Mytilus edulis: one gene and its partner. The protein of the gene in region 1 interacts with the protein of each later gene in a pairwise test. Links are inferred from orthologs where the notes say so. Each region holds a gene or a part of one and is shown in the gene's direction. Other genes may lie near its edges.

Region 1 (7,143 bases):
ACCAAGAAAACACCAAAAGCCATGCTGGTGGAGTAGCTCAGTAACATCTGCCAAAAAACACCTAAATCACTGCCAGAAACAATACAGAATGAGGAACATTCCACAAAACAAACAAAGACTCATCATTGCAGAATACAACTTTGACAAGGCAAAGGAAGATGCACAAGAAGAATGGAGTAATAACCTCGTAAACCAACTAAATCAGGCTAAAAACTCAAAAGACTTCTGGAACACGTACAAAAAGATGTCCAGGAAAACAGAAGATAACTCAGTACTCCCATTAATTGTTGAAAATAAAGATCCAATATTTGACAACAAAAGTAAAGTTGAACTTCTACAAAAAATTTTCTTTGGAGGTAGCCACCTAAAGGATGAGTCATTTGATAAAGAATTTTATGATAGTATCAACAAAGAATACAAAGAACTAAATAACATGTATCAGGCAACAAATGAAACAGATCAACATAGAGAAGGCTTTGATAGAGAAATAGACAAAGACGAGGTAGAAGCAGCTATATACCGCCTTCGCACGGGGACTGCCCCAGGACCAGATCAGCAGTTTGCTGAATTCTATAAGCATGCAGGTGACAAATTTACAGAAGCCTTAGTAACAATGATGAACATCATATGGCAAAAAGGGGAATTACCAACAGAATGGAAAATGGCAGATGTAAAATTTCTAAGAAAACCAGGAAAAACCAGCTATTACTCATCCTCTTCTTACAGACCAATCAGCCTAACTTGCATTATATGCAAACTAATGGAGAGAGTCATCCTAGAACGCATTGTGGCATATATTGAGGGTCACAGATTGATTGATTTAACTCAAGAAGGGTTCAGAAAGAATCACTCAACCACCAATGCTCTACTTCGGTTAGTCCAAACAATAGCTGATGGTTACAATGAGGATGAATCAACTCTTGCATGGCTAGTGGACCTTGAAAAGGCATATGACTCAATATGGCGTGAGGGGTTAATGATCAAGCTGCATAAACTTGGGATAAAGGGAAAAACCTGGTTATGGATAAACAGCTTTCTCACAAATCGAACAGCCAGATGTATGCTGAATAACTTCTTTGGAGAACAATTTGATACCAAAATCGGCTTGCCACAAGGGTCAGTACTATCACCCACCTTGTTTAACATATTCATAGCTGATATAATGGATAACACAAAAGGAGAAAATTGCAAGTTTGCAGATGATGGCACTCTATGGCATAAGGGGAAAGACATAAAGGAAATGAAAGAAAGAACTTCAGAGGATGTCAAAACTATTTTAAAATGGACAGAAAAATGGAGAATTAATGTAAACCTGGAAAAGTGTGAAGTATGCCTATTCTCAAAAGGCAACACAGATGCAGAGCAGAAAACATTAAAAGTCAACTCCTTCTCCTATAGATATAGTCCAACACCGAAGCTACTTGGAGTAACTCTAGACGAGAAGCTTAAATTTGACACCCACATCAATCTGATGCAGAAGAGGGCAAATAATGCAATATATGTAATTAGAGATATTAAGGGCATGGGAGGAATATCAAGATCAAAACTACTCCAAATATACAACAGCATGGTTAGATCTATCATGGAGTATGCATGCCCAGTCTGGCAAATAACATCTGCAGAGAATATGAAGAAATTAGAAGCTGTACAAAGAAAAGGCTTGTCAATATGCCTAGGACTACCAGGAACATCAGGTAGAGAGGCAATGGAAGTTGAAGCCAATATACAACCCATAGACCTCAGAATAGAGGAAATATCAGTACGTGAACTGGCAAAAATACAATCAAAGAACATAGCAGAACCAATTAAACAACAACTAGAACAGTATTTAACAAACAACGCAACCTATGAACAACAGGATTCTCCATTTGGTAAAGCTATAAACCAATCCATAGACATGTTCAAAGCCACGAAAGTTGACATCAAACTTATAGAACCAGAATTCACATACAAAGCTGGTGTAGATGTCATGCTAAGGAGATCACCAAGTTATTGGAGTCGTCTAGGTAGCTCAAAGAACAGAACAGCCGAACAAACTGTTGAAAGTAAACAGGTTGTAAAGGACCTATTAGGAGACAGCACAGACTCAACAGTAGTGGCATTCACTGATGGTTCATGTCAAGGTAACCCGGGACCATGTGGGGCAGGAGCAGTAGTATATTCTGGAAATAGCCAAGGCATAAGTCTAAAGAGGCCAGTAGCTAATAGAGGATCGATACTTCTTGCTGAACTAGTAGCCATACTAATGGTCCTGGAGCACTGTATAACGACTATAAAGGACCAGTTTTCTGAGCTTAAAATACTGTCAGATAGCCAGACTGCTGTAGGCATCTTGACTCTGAACTGGAAATCTTCTAACTACATCGACACAATTACTGATATCAAAGAATGCATGGGAACGTTCTTAAGACACGGCATACTAACAACCCTATCTTGGATCCCAGGCCATGCTAATATAGCCGGGAACGAGATAGCGGACCAGTTGGCAAAAGACGCTGCAAAAGAGGCCTCATCACTAAATGATCAGTATAATGTCATAACCATGTCAGATGTAAGATGTGCAGTCAAGATGTCTACAAAACTCAAATGGCAAAGCAGATGGACAATTAGTGAAACTGGAAGACAGCTTTTCAACCTAATTCCTATCGTTGGTAAGGACGCACAACTAGACAAGCCTAACAACCAAATAGGAAGAATATTGTCAGAAATAAGAACGGGCTACAGCAGACTTAACAAATACAGAAACCAAATCGGTCAATCCCTCACGCCATATTGTGAATGCGGAGAAGAAGAAACATCAGAACACTTCCTGCTATACTGCCCAAGATACCAACAAGAAAGAGAGGACATGCGAAGACAAATGGAACTACTTAACATCGATCCAACAAATATACAGTCAATACTAGCACCACCAAAAAGAGAAACCTACGAAGCAACATCGCAAATTGTAGGGGAATATATTACAAAATCAGGGAGATTCCAAGAACTTGCAATCCCTGATTCCCGATCCTGCGCCTAACAAGTATACCAAAGTACCGCGAGATATTACCTCGAGCAACGGTGTACCATAAGAGGAGGAAGATAGCACACAGAGAACAGTAGTGTCAATTATTGACCTTAGGATCAGGATCAGGAACGTTACCTGATGACAGCGTTTCTTTGTTTACATTGAATATGACGTCATAAATTAAATAACATCACACTTAAAATCCCTAACTACAGAACCAAAATCGGAAACGTTACGGTATTTCTGTTTCTCTTTTTAACATGTTTGATTTAAAAAAAATAACCATACAGACTTCGTCCCCATTCACAGGTAATGCCTGCCTCATATTACGAATTATTAGACACTATAAATGTTTAATTCAAAAAGAACACAGAGGTATTGAATCATAATAAGTAATATCTGTATCCATATTTCTCTCATTTTTACGATTTCTAATGGATTTGGCCTTTGCCGGCTTTGGGGGTGTGTCATGGTCTATTCCCAATGTATTTAATTCATTTTTTTCAATTCCACTATCACTTTGTAATGAAATTGGTGTTCACATATTAAAGTTTAACAAATATCTCATCAAACAATGATATATTTATGGATCTTAAGTGAAATTATAACATATTTTGAGCATTTTACCTGCCAAATATATTTATGTTGATGACAAGCCGGAAGTGACAGTGGAAGACTGAGAGCAGCAAGATAACATGAGATTGTTCTTTAAGAGCACTTTATGAAATACGACTAATTAATTGGAAAGATTTTAAAATACAACGCACTCAAACGTTATAAATGAAAACATAATATATTGAATTTTAAAGAATAATATCAACGAAAAATACAAAACATATGTACACAAATTTTTAAAGTTAATTTTTAGGTATGTTTTTTTTTCATGTGAGCATTTTGACCTTTTGGATCATTTTTAATTAAGTTCATTGTTGTGCGTTGTTGTTATTGATTTTATTTTTGTGTATTTAGTTATACTTCTAAAGACTCTAAACAGAAATAATCTGGCTAGACTCTAATAACCTAAAAGCTATTTATGACCATGACCTTTCTCAAAGTCCATGCTCCATACAAAACAAACTACAAATTTGCTTAAAGTTTCTTGATATTTATTGAAAAAAAAAGGGAGCTTAAAATACAAATACTTATTTAAGTTAATAGATCCCTGAAAAACAATGGCCGAAAGTGCAACGCACTTGACATCTGCTATATTCACTTCAAAACCGTCTATTTTTGAAGTTCTTGCCCAGGACAGTCTTATGAGCACAATAAGACCTGCTCTTAAACATGCCATAAAGGCAAGGAATAGTATAGATTTTCACATTGGGTTTAATTGAATGATACTCTTAGCTTAACTACAGATTTTGAATCTCAATACATGTACACCTTATCACTTATCCCGGCTGACCTGGCCGCTTGAACTTTTGACGTCATACACAATCACTTTTCCATTGTGGCGTGAGATATTTTGTTTTACGAAGTCAAAATTTATAGGGAACCTGTGTGATATCCAGAAATGACCGACAAATAGTGATAAGGTGTATAGGTGCAATTAGAGTCTTGAGAGCTAATTCTGTATTCTCCAGTACTGTTAACGAACGACTTAAAGTATCTACAATATATGTGTAAAAGAAGCAATTCCTTTAAGTCGTCTGTTAACATTACTTGAGAATTAAAAATGTTTTTTCTCGCAAGAATCATGCTCTCAAGACTCTGATTACACCTATTGAGATTCAAAATCTGTAGTTAATCAAGTTTAAGAATTGTCGTCTCCTTTTTTCTGAAAAAAAACTATGTCAATTCTTTCCCTCAGTTGAATTAAACAAAACTAATTTGTATAAATGAAATAAATAAACTTAACGGAAGTTAAGCATCACAATTGTCATGATTGTATGGTTTAGGTTCCAAAATCAAATTGAATATCTACATGTACCATCAATTCTAACTAAAAATAAATTCAAAATTTAAATATTTTGACATGGTTTAAGGCCATGAAGGCTACATTTGGTTTCCGATGGATTATTGTCTCATTAACAATCATTCCACTTCATATTTTTATATGTTTTTAAGAATTTAATCCAACAATAAAAGCAATATAAGCATACACATTTTTTATATCCAGATCTGATAGACTCGTGGAGGAAGTTATTGCCCCTAAAAGACATTTTTTTTGTGTTTTTGCAATTTCACAGTCTGATTCAGCCCAAAACACTGTACATTACCGCTGCATGCTGAAATAATCATGAGGGAAGCTGACATATATACTTAGTTAATTTAGCAATCAATAAAATGTTAATCAATACTGTAACAATAATTTTTAACAAATTTATTTTTAATGCTCAATTGCGCCCTGTGAAATTCTTTCCACTGACAATATTTATGTTTTTAATGAAGTATCTGTCTTATGCTTTGATCATGTCTTGAAATTATTTCATAGTTATTCATGTCCCCCTTGAGAACATGTTTTCTTTATACTGTATATATAATAATGAAATTATGTATCCTGTCAAAGAATAGACAAAGTTTCATTTACTTATTATTCATATATATTTGTCTTTTTAGGTTTTAGCAGAGACAAAGCCAGATAAATTTGCATGGATGCTGAGATTTTACGATGAAATATACACAATACTTGATCTAATTCTACAGAATTATTATTTACGTTCATACAGTAAGTCAAATAATTACTTTATTTTTGGATAAGTGGCACAATAATTGATGTAAAAAAAATATGAGAATTTTGTTTTCCTAAACTAAACCCATATATCCATACTTAATTAGATGACACAGTCAAGTCTGAACTTAAAAAATGAATTCAATTATATATATGTTATAAAAATTCTGCCAAAATAACACATAATTTCATATATATATATATATTAACTGTATACTTTTAAATGAAAGCTACTGCAAATATATGGTAAAGTATATATATCCATAACACCAACAAAACCTGCACTGAGACTAACTTTCATTTCAGCCATCATGTTCACAAGTCTTGAAACATTTAAATTAACGTAAAACTACTTTACTTTTTATTAAACATAGAGTTGACCATAGAATTTTATATTCATTCGCTTTAACAGCTATAACCCTATAACCCACATATGATTGTGTCTTCTAATTCTATTTCAGGTGGATCTTTTGCTGAAAACTTTTATGGTATTAAAAGAGTTGATTGTCAGAAGGATCAAAAACAGGAAGATACAAAACTTTCAAAACGTTGTCTAATTAAATCTATCTTATGCTTGGTAAGATTTTGTTGACAGTTAAAATAGGAAATATGTTTTTGTTAACTGTCATTTAAAGTAAAGATGTCATGGTTTTAAGTGTACAAAGAATTCTGTCTAATGGCTTTGTGTAAAATTTTGGATAGTAAGCATTAGATAATGATAATTTATAATACATTGCTTAAATGTGAGCTTTTTGTCATATGGTGCATGAAGTCAAGTTAATCTCATGTAAGATGAAATTACCTGAAAATCATTATCATGATTATGTACCCACAGAATTCTTTGTTCATGTAGGCATGATATTGCTTTAATATCAGAAACTATTGAGAACAATACAAATATGTTTCTGCCTTCCAGTAAAAAGCCTTATGAAATGAATAAGAATCAATTGATCTTTTTGTATTTGGATATCAGTCCAGTATTTATTTTGAAAATGGGAGATAACTCTATAATAAAAAAAGGCAGTTCTGAGTCAAGAATAGCAGACAATGTTTTGTGATGGAAACAGTATGAATAGTAGCTGCTCTTGCCACAACATAACACATATATCTTGACTTGGCTTTTAACCACTACCTTTTAGGAAAACAAGTTGCTTTAGACTACATTCCACCACATGAACAAAATTAATTAAACTTTGTGTACTTAGATGAGTAAGGTCTGCATGATTTTTTTTCTCTTTTTGAATTGTTATTATTTTTTGACAAGTTAGATATAAGATATACAAGTATCAGTATTTTAATGAAAATATTGCAATAATAACTCACTCTTTGTAGGTCATTTTGCCATATATAAAACATAAGTTGGACTTCATTTTTGAAGAATTGAGACACAAAATAAACACAGGAAGACTCAGTCAGGTAAATATGTAATTGTTTAATATTATATAGTTCACATAAAACCTGCTTG
Region 2 (7,008 bases), on another chromosome or scaffold:
TATAAAGCTAAGCTTTATTACAACTGTCACCTTAACTTAACATTAACCAAGATAACTAAACAAAGACCAATGAACCTTGAAAATGAGGTCAAGGTCAAATGAACCATGCCAGGCAGACATGTACAGCTAACATTTAGTTATTCTTCTATACAACATATATAGTTGACCTATTACTTATAGTTTAAGACAAGAGTGCACACACTGAAATGTCTCGCCTTCTTTACTAATCATTGATATTATGTTGATACTCCTAAATATAAAGCTTTATTATGACTGTCACATAAACTTAACATGAATCATGAAAATGAGGTCAAGATCAGTTGAACCATATGCCAGGCAGACATGTACAGCTAACAATGCTTCCATACAACAAACATGACAAATATAGTTGAGCCTATTGCTTATAGTTTAAGAAAATAGACCAAAACACAAAAACTTAACACTGAGCAATGAACCGTGAAAACCAGGTCAAGGTCAAATAAAACCTGCGCGACTGACATATAGATCATAAAATATTTCCATACACCAAATATAGTTGACCTATGACATATAGTATTAGATAAAAAGACCAAAACTCAAAAACTTAACTTTGACCACTGAACCATGAAAATGAGGTCAAGGTCAAATGACATCTGCCCGCTAGACAATTACACCTTACAATCATTCCAACCAACAAATATAGTAAACCTATTGCATAAAGTATGAGAAAAACAGACCAAAACACAAAAACTTAACTATAACCACTGAACCATGAAAATGAGGTCAAGGTCAGATGACATCTGCCCGCTAGACATGTACACCTTACAATCATTCCAAACAACAAATATAGTAAGCCTATTGCATAAAGTATGAGAAAATCAGACCAAAACACAAAAACTTTACTATAACCACTGAACCATGAAAATGAGGTCAAGGTCAGATGACACCTACCAGTTGGACATGTACACCTTACAGTCCTTCCATACATCGAATATACTAGACCTATTGCTTATAGTATCTGAGATATGGACTTGACCACCAAAACTTAACCTTGTTCACTGATCCATGAAATGAGGTCGAGGTTAAGTGAAAACTGTCCAACGGGCATGAGGACCTTGCAAGGTACGCACATATGAAATATAGTTATCCTATTACTTACTGTAAGAGAGAATTTAACATTACAAAAAATCTTAACTTTTTTTTCAAGTGGTCACTGAACCATGAAAATGAGGTCAAGGACAATGGACATTTGACTGACGGAAACTTCGTAACATGAGGCATCTATATACAAAATATGAAGCATCCAGGTCTTCCACCTTCTAAAATATATAGCTTTTAAGAAGTGAGCTAACACCGCCGCCGCCGCCGGATCACTATCCCTATGTCGAGCTTTCTGCAACAAAAGTTGCAGGCTCGACAAAAAATAGACCAAAACACAAAAGCTTAACACTGTGCAATGAACCGGAAAATGAGGTCACGGTCAAATAAAACCTGCACGACTGACATAAAGATCATAAAATATTTTCATACATCAAATATAGTTGAGCTATGGCATATTGTATGAGAAAAACAGACCAAAACAAAAAATTTTTAACTATAACCACTGAACCATGAAAATGAGGTCAAGGTCAGATGACACCTGCCAGTTGGACATGTACACCTTACAGTCCTTCCATACACCGAATATACTAGCCCTATTGCTTATAGTATCTGAGATATGGACTTGACCACCAAAACTTAACCTTGTTCACTGATCCATGAAATGAGGTCGAGGTCAAGTGAAAACTGTCTGACAGACATGAGGACCTTGCAAGGTACGCACATATCAAATCTAGTTATCCTATTACTTATAATAAGAGAGAATTTAACATTACAAAAAATCTGAACTTTTTTTTCAAGTTGTCACTGAACCATGAAAATGAGGTCAAGGACATTGGACATGTGACTGACGGAAACTCGTAACATGAGGCATCTATATACAAAGTATGAAGCATCCAGGTCTTCTACCTTCTAAAATATAAAGCTTTTGAGAAGTTAGCTAATGCTGCCGCCACATCACTATCCCTATGTCGAGCTTTCTGCAACAAAAGTTGCAGGCTCGACAAAAATGGGGTGTATCCATTTATTTACCAATAAAGTATAATTCTAGTTAGTGACCTTTTGTAGAAGTTGTTTTTGTCAGTCAGAAATGTTTTAGCTAGGTGTAATACTTAATGATGATGTTCTACATCAAACTAGCAGTTGAACGATAAAAACAGCACTTTTAGTCTCAAGAATAATTCCAATGAAAATATAATTTGCTCAAATCTCACACATTAAAAAAATTAGGGACAGCTCAAAGTTCATGACAAAGTTCATGACATTTTCTGATTTTTTTTGCACAATAAAACTTTGTAACTACATGACTGTGTATGAGCATATCAGATGATATTCTTTTTAAAAAATATCTTGTGCAGGGATGCTTTCCCATACCTTGAAGATATATAACTGCCCAAAATCATGCTCTACATTTACAAAATTAGCATCCCAACATCAAAACCTACTGTTAGAAGAAATGATACCTAGGATGGGGAAGTGATAAATTTAAATGCATCCCCTTTAATACACCTTATCGCTATTTGTCCGCCATTACTGGACTTTGGACATCACACAGGTTCCCATAAAATTTGATGTCATAATACAAAATACCTGACGCCACAATGGAAAAGTGATTGTTGTAAGACCTCAATAGTTCAAGCGGGACAGATTCTTGGGTCAGCTGGGAATAGCGATAAGGTGAATACCATCTTACTGTTAATTGGTATAGGGTATGTTCCGCCTAATGACATGTTCGCCCTGTGTCCATTTGCCCTGAGTTCGTTCGCCCATAGAGTCTGTTCGCCCTATTTTAAAATATCAATATTCAGGGCATTGAATTTGAATAAACTTATTCAGATATTTCTATGGTATATATTCTTATAAATTTAAACGTTTATGGCTTGTTTAAGATCATTAATTGTTCAATGACTAATAATAAAAACAAACATTTTGTTTTGATAAAATATTCAGCTTGAAATCAATAAAAACAATTTTGTACGAACTGTAAATCATGAAACAGATTTTGAAGTTCATTTATTATAATACTCTGGGACTAGTTTCATTTGAACTGCATACATTCGTGATTGACTGAATACAATTATTTTGCTAACAAATATCAATAAAGATATATTAATACATAATGTATTCCAAGTATTCTACTCTGTAAATCAAAGGGAAAATATTAAAATAGATTGCGGCAATATAAATATTTTGTCAATTTTTCAACAAACTTTAAACATATTTTGTTAAAATATTTAAAATTATGCGACTAGACAACAATTAGAGAAAATAAAAATCAGGGCGAATGGGCTCTAGGCGAACAGGTATCAGGGCAAACAGGTGCGAGGACGAACGCGAATCAGGGCAAACAGACCCGGATTCCTGTTGGTTAACTGGTAGTATATACTGAGTGCCAGGTCTCCCAGGATCGGTTCCACACTGATTCAGTACTTAATTTTGGAAGACAATCTCTCTGGTAATATTTAGTTAAAGGGTTAGGGAAATGCCTACACTATCACTATCAGCAGGAACAAGCATAATATTAATTTAAGTATTCCTGGAAGACCATATTGAAAAAATATTTTTTTATATATATTAAAATATGTGCCCTATAAAAGCAGAATAGATAATAACACACAGTCACTGTCGTTGATTAAAACATTCAATGATGAGCATAAAAACATGTTTACTGTTAAAAAATGTAGGTCAGTTGAAAAAAGGGGGGTAGGAGATTATATGTCAGAGCGGACGTTATCATTTACAAAACAGAATTTTGTAAAATTTCATGTACCAATGACATCCTTTAGCTCGTAATCGTCTTTTGTATTAGGCCATGGAGCCTTTTCCTCAGTTGCCTGGACTGTGGGTTTGTCTGCCATGATCAAGATTGACCTTGACCTAACAACTAGGGGAGATAACGTCTCAAACCGGAAATGAATTACGATGTTCAAGAAAAGTGGACATGCAGAAATAATACGATCTCATCAAAAAGACGAATTTTACATCGGATATTTAAAGTCTCAAATTACAGATATATCCCAAGCATTACTTGGTACGTCATACGGCTAGCTGACATTCATTAGATTTCCAAATATCCTGATCTTTTGGTCATGATGTTAGAACCACAGGAGTTTAAAAATTATCCTAAAAAATACCAAACTCGACTATCACAGTAGAGCTTCTCTCGAAGCTTCAAACTCCTGTGGTAGGAATAGGAGTATTGAACGCCTTTGGCTATTTAATAATAATAAGTAAATCTACACTTTAAGCTTATAGAATAGAATAGAATCATTGAGAATAGAACAGAATATTTTTATTTCCCAAATTACAGGGCCCATAAAGGGCATAAAATCAGATACAATTGATTTACATAATTGGTAACAACAACAATAGATTGTACAGTTTTATTGACCAGTTACTCGCAATCAATATATTGTAACTGCAGAGCCCGTATCTACTCTACAAATTCATATCGTTACCACCGGGATTCGAACACCAGTCGTCTGGGTGGCAGTCAGTGTGTTAACCCACTGAGCCAAATAATCGATTCCCTAGCTCAGTTGATTAAGACTGGCTATATATGTTCTACCTGTACTAAGGGGACGCAACCCTGCTACACTATTCCCCCACCACAATAGTCGTCATATCTTTATATGACTCTTAACAACACAAACCCTGGCTATACTCCAGATTACCATCATTGATTTTTTTTAGTCGGGCGCTAAATGTAACCGGAGAGCATGTATCTACTCTACAAATTCATATCGTCACCACTGGGATTCGAATCCCGGTTGTCTGCGTGACAGTCAGTGCGTTAATCCACTGAGCCAAAGAATCGATTCCATAGCTCAGTTGATTAAGACTGGCTATATATGTTCTACCTGTACTAAGGCAAAGCAACCCCGCTACAATGTACACTGTTAATATCCAAATAACACTGTTAATATCCAAATAACACTTGTAATGACCAAATAACACTTGGAATTTAAATATTAGCAAATATTCATTGATATTGGTGACTTTGAAAACATTGGTTATTAAATATTAGTATATTATCGATGTATTTTATAGCAATTTTGCTTTATACTTGCATGGAAGAGGGTCGTATAAACATGATAAATAGAGTACCTTCTTGACGAATTATGGTACTAATTCTCGCCAAATGATGTTAACAGTACATTTTGGTACATGTCAGACGATGAAATGTACAGGGTTTTTTTTAGACATTAAAGAATTTGACTGATTTTGACAATTCTGCTATTTTTTTTACCAAAATAATGTTGACTTTTATTATTTGAGACATCTGACAAATCACTGTAAGGATACATGTATTTTGACGAATCATAATAAAAAAAAAATTTGACACTAACGGAAGCCAAAAATAACCGTTTGACGACTGACAGTGAGGGGCATTCCTACCCTGGTGGAAATTGGTTTCATTGGGGTCTTTTGAAGCTAATGCCTGATTGGCTAGGGTTTTTATTGCATGTGTGCACGACGAAAGTCAAATTATTCAAAATGAAAATGGGAAACCAAGTTAAGCGGGACACGTGAAATTACAAGCATTATCATTACGATATGATAAGCAGGATACAGGAATCTAACAAAACAATAAGCTGGATCCGGGATCAGACTAATGTTGATTTAAAATTTAATATAAAAGTACATGTACCTGTTGGTCTCACTAATTAGCATAAAGAAGCAACAAGAAGAAATAAATTAGCAACAAGGGAAAAACAAGTTACAACAGAAAGACAAATTAATAGCAACAAAAAGTTTAAATACTATTAAATTGTTTAGTAAAAGTCAATTGATTTCAGTTTATTATTTGCTGTTTTATCATGTTTATAAAGTTTATAAAGTTTGATGTTTTGCTATATTTAGTACCACTATGTACTTTGTCATTGTAATCAGTCATGTCAGTAGTCAAATGGAAGTTTACCTGAAACTACTGTCTCTGCAAATTCCATCAATATATGTTTATAAAAAAATTGTTCTTAATATCATTTAGAAATGTAAGCTATTTGAAATAATTTGTCAAGTTGAATAGTCCATTTGCCAATTACCAGTGGCGGATCCAGAAATTATCATAAGTGGGGGCCCACTGACTGACCTAAGAGGGGGCCCGCTCCAGTCACACTTCAGTGATTCCCTATATAAGCAACCAATTTTTTTCCCAAAAAGGGGTGGGCCCCCCCCCCCTAAATCCGCCTCTGATTACCGTTATTGACCCTGTATTTAGAGATCCCTATTTAAGTAGTCTCCCTTATGAGGGACATCAATTTTTATTTACAATGCGAGCTAGCAGAAAGAGCAAATTTACCTGTGCGAAATGTGAGTAATCTTTAAGGTTTTAAAATCTTTTATTTAAATTAAGCTAAATACTTTTGACATCAGAAATTATTTTTCATGAAAAGTTAGTTAAACCGCCGATACATCTCTTTCAATTCATCATGCTTTGCATTGGCAACAGCCAATTTGTCCGGTATAGAACTAGTCTACAAGTGACAAAGGGAGTTTATTCGTTTAAAAAGTGTGTAATAACAGAATCAAATCGGTAATTGGAAAATGGACTATTGATTACAGATTTATTTATTCAAAGTACATCTTCTTATATCTATATACAAAGATTATGTTTGGATTTCAAGTTAAGACATTTCAGCCTTTGATATGATAATGTTGTTGACTGTCTAGAGTTTTGGTTGCATACTTTTTTATATCTTCTAGGACCAAGAAATTGGATTAAATGGCGGAAAGAACTTGATTTGTTTGCAGATCTTGGTTACTTTACCCTTACAACTTTTGCAGGTAACTTAAAACTAATGTTGATTTTTTTGGCTGAATATTGTATAAGAAACATCTTTTGTTAACTGATAATATTCACATTAAACATCAGACATTCTGTTTGTCATTCATCATGCTCATGTTATATGTTAAAGTTGCTATGTAATT

The links.
Region 2: the proteins of peroxisome assembly protein 12-like (region 1) and peroxisome assembly protein 10-B-like interact in a two-hybrid assay, tested with the Homo sapiens proteins (4 studies listed by BioGRID, with this or other methods). The link is inferred for Mytilus edulis from reciprocal best matches to the Homo sapiens genes PEX12 and PEX10.

What each region holds. Positions count from the first base shown.
Region 1 is NC_092349.1:85,761,757-85,768,899, forward strand, and holds the start of peroxisome assembly protein 12-like, read left to right. Parts: upstream 1-4,029; 5' UTR 4,030-4,179; coding exon 4,180-4,302; intron 4,303-5,566; coding exon 5,567-5,675; intron 5,676-6,139; coding exon 6,140-6,255; intron 6,256-7,010; coding exon 7,011-7,094; intron 7,095-7,143. Other genes in the region: uncharacterized protein, read left to right, coding at 89-3,019. UniProt on the Homo sapiens protein: Component of a retrotranslocation channel required for peroxisome organization by mediating export of the PEX5 receptor from peroxisomes to the cytosol, thereby promoting PEX5 recycling.
Region 2 is NC_092345.1:104,804,278-104,811,285, reverse strand, and holds the start of peroxisome assembly protein 10-B-like, read left to right. Parts: upstream 1-3,969; 5' UTR 3,970-3,999; coding exon 4,000-4,108; intron 4,109-6,783; coding exon 6,784-6,864; intron 6,865-7,008. Other genes in the region: serine/threonine-protein kinase OSR1-like, read right to left, coding at 3,848-3,935.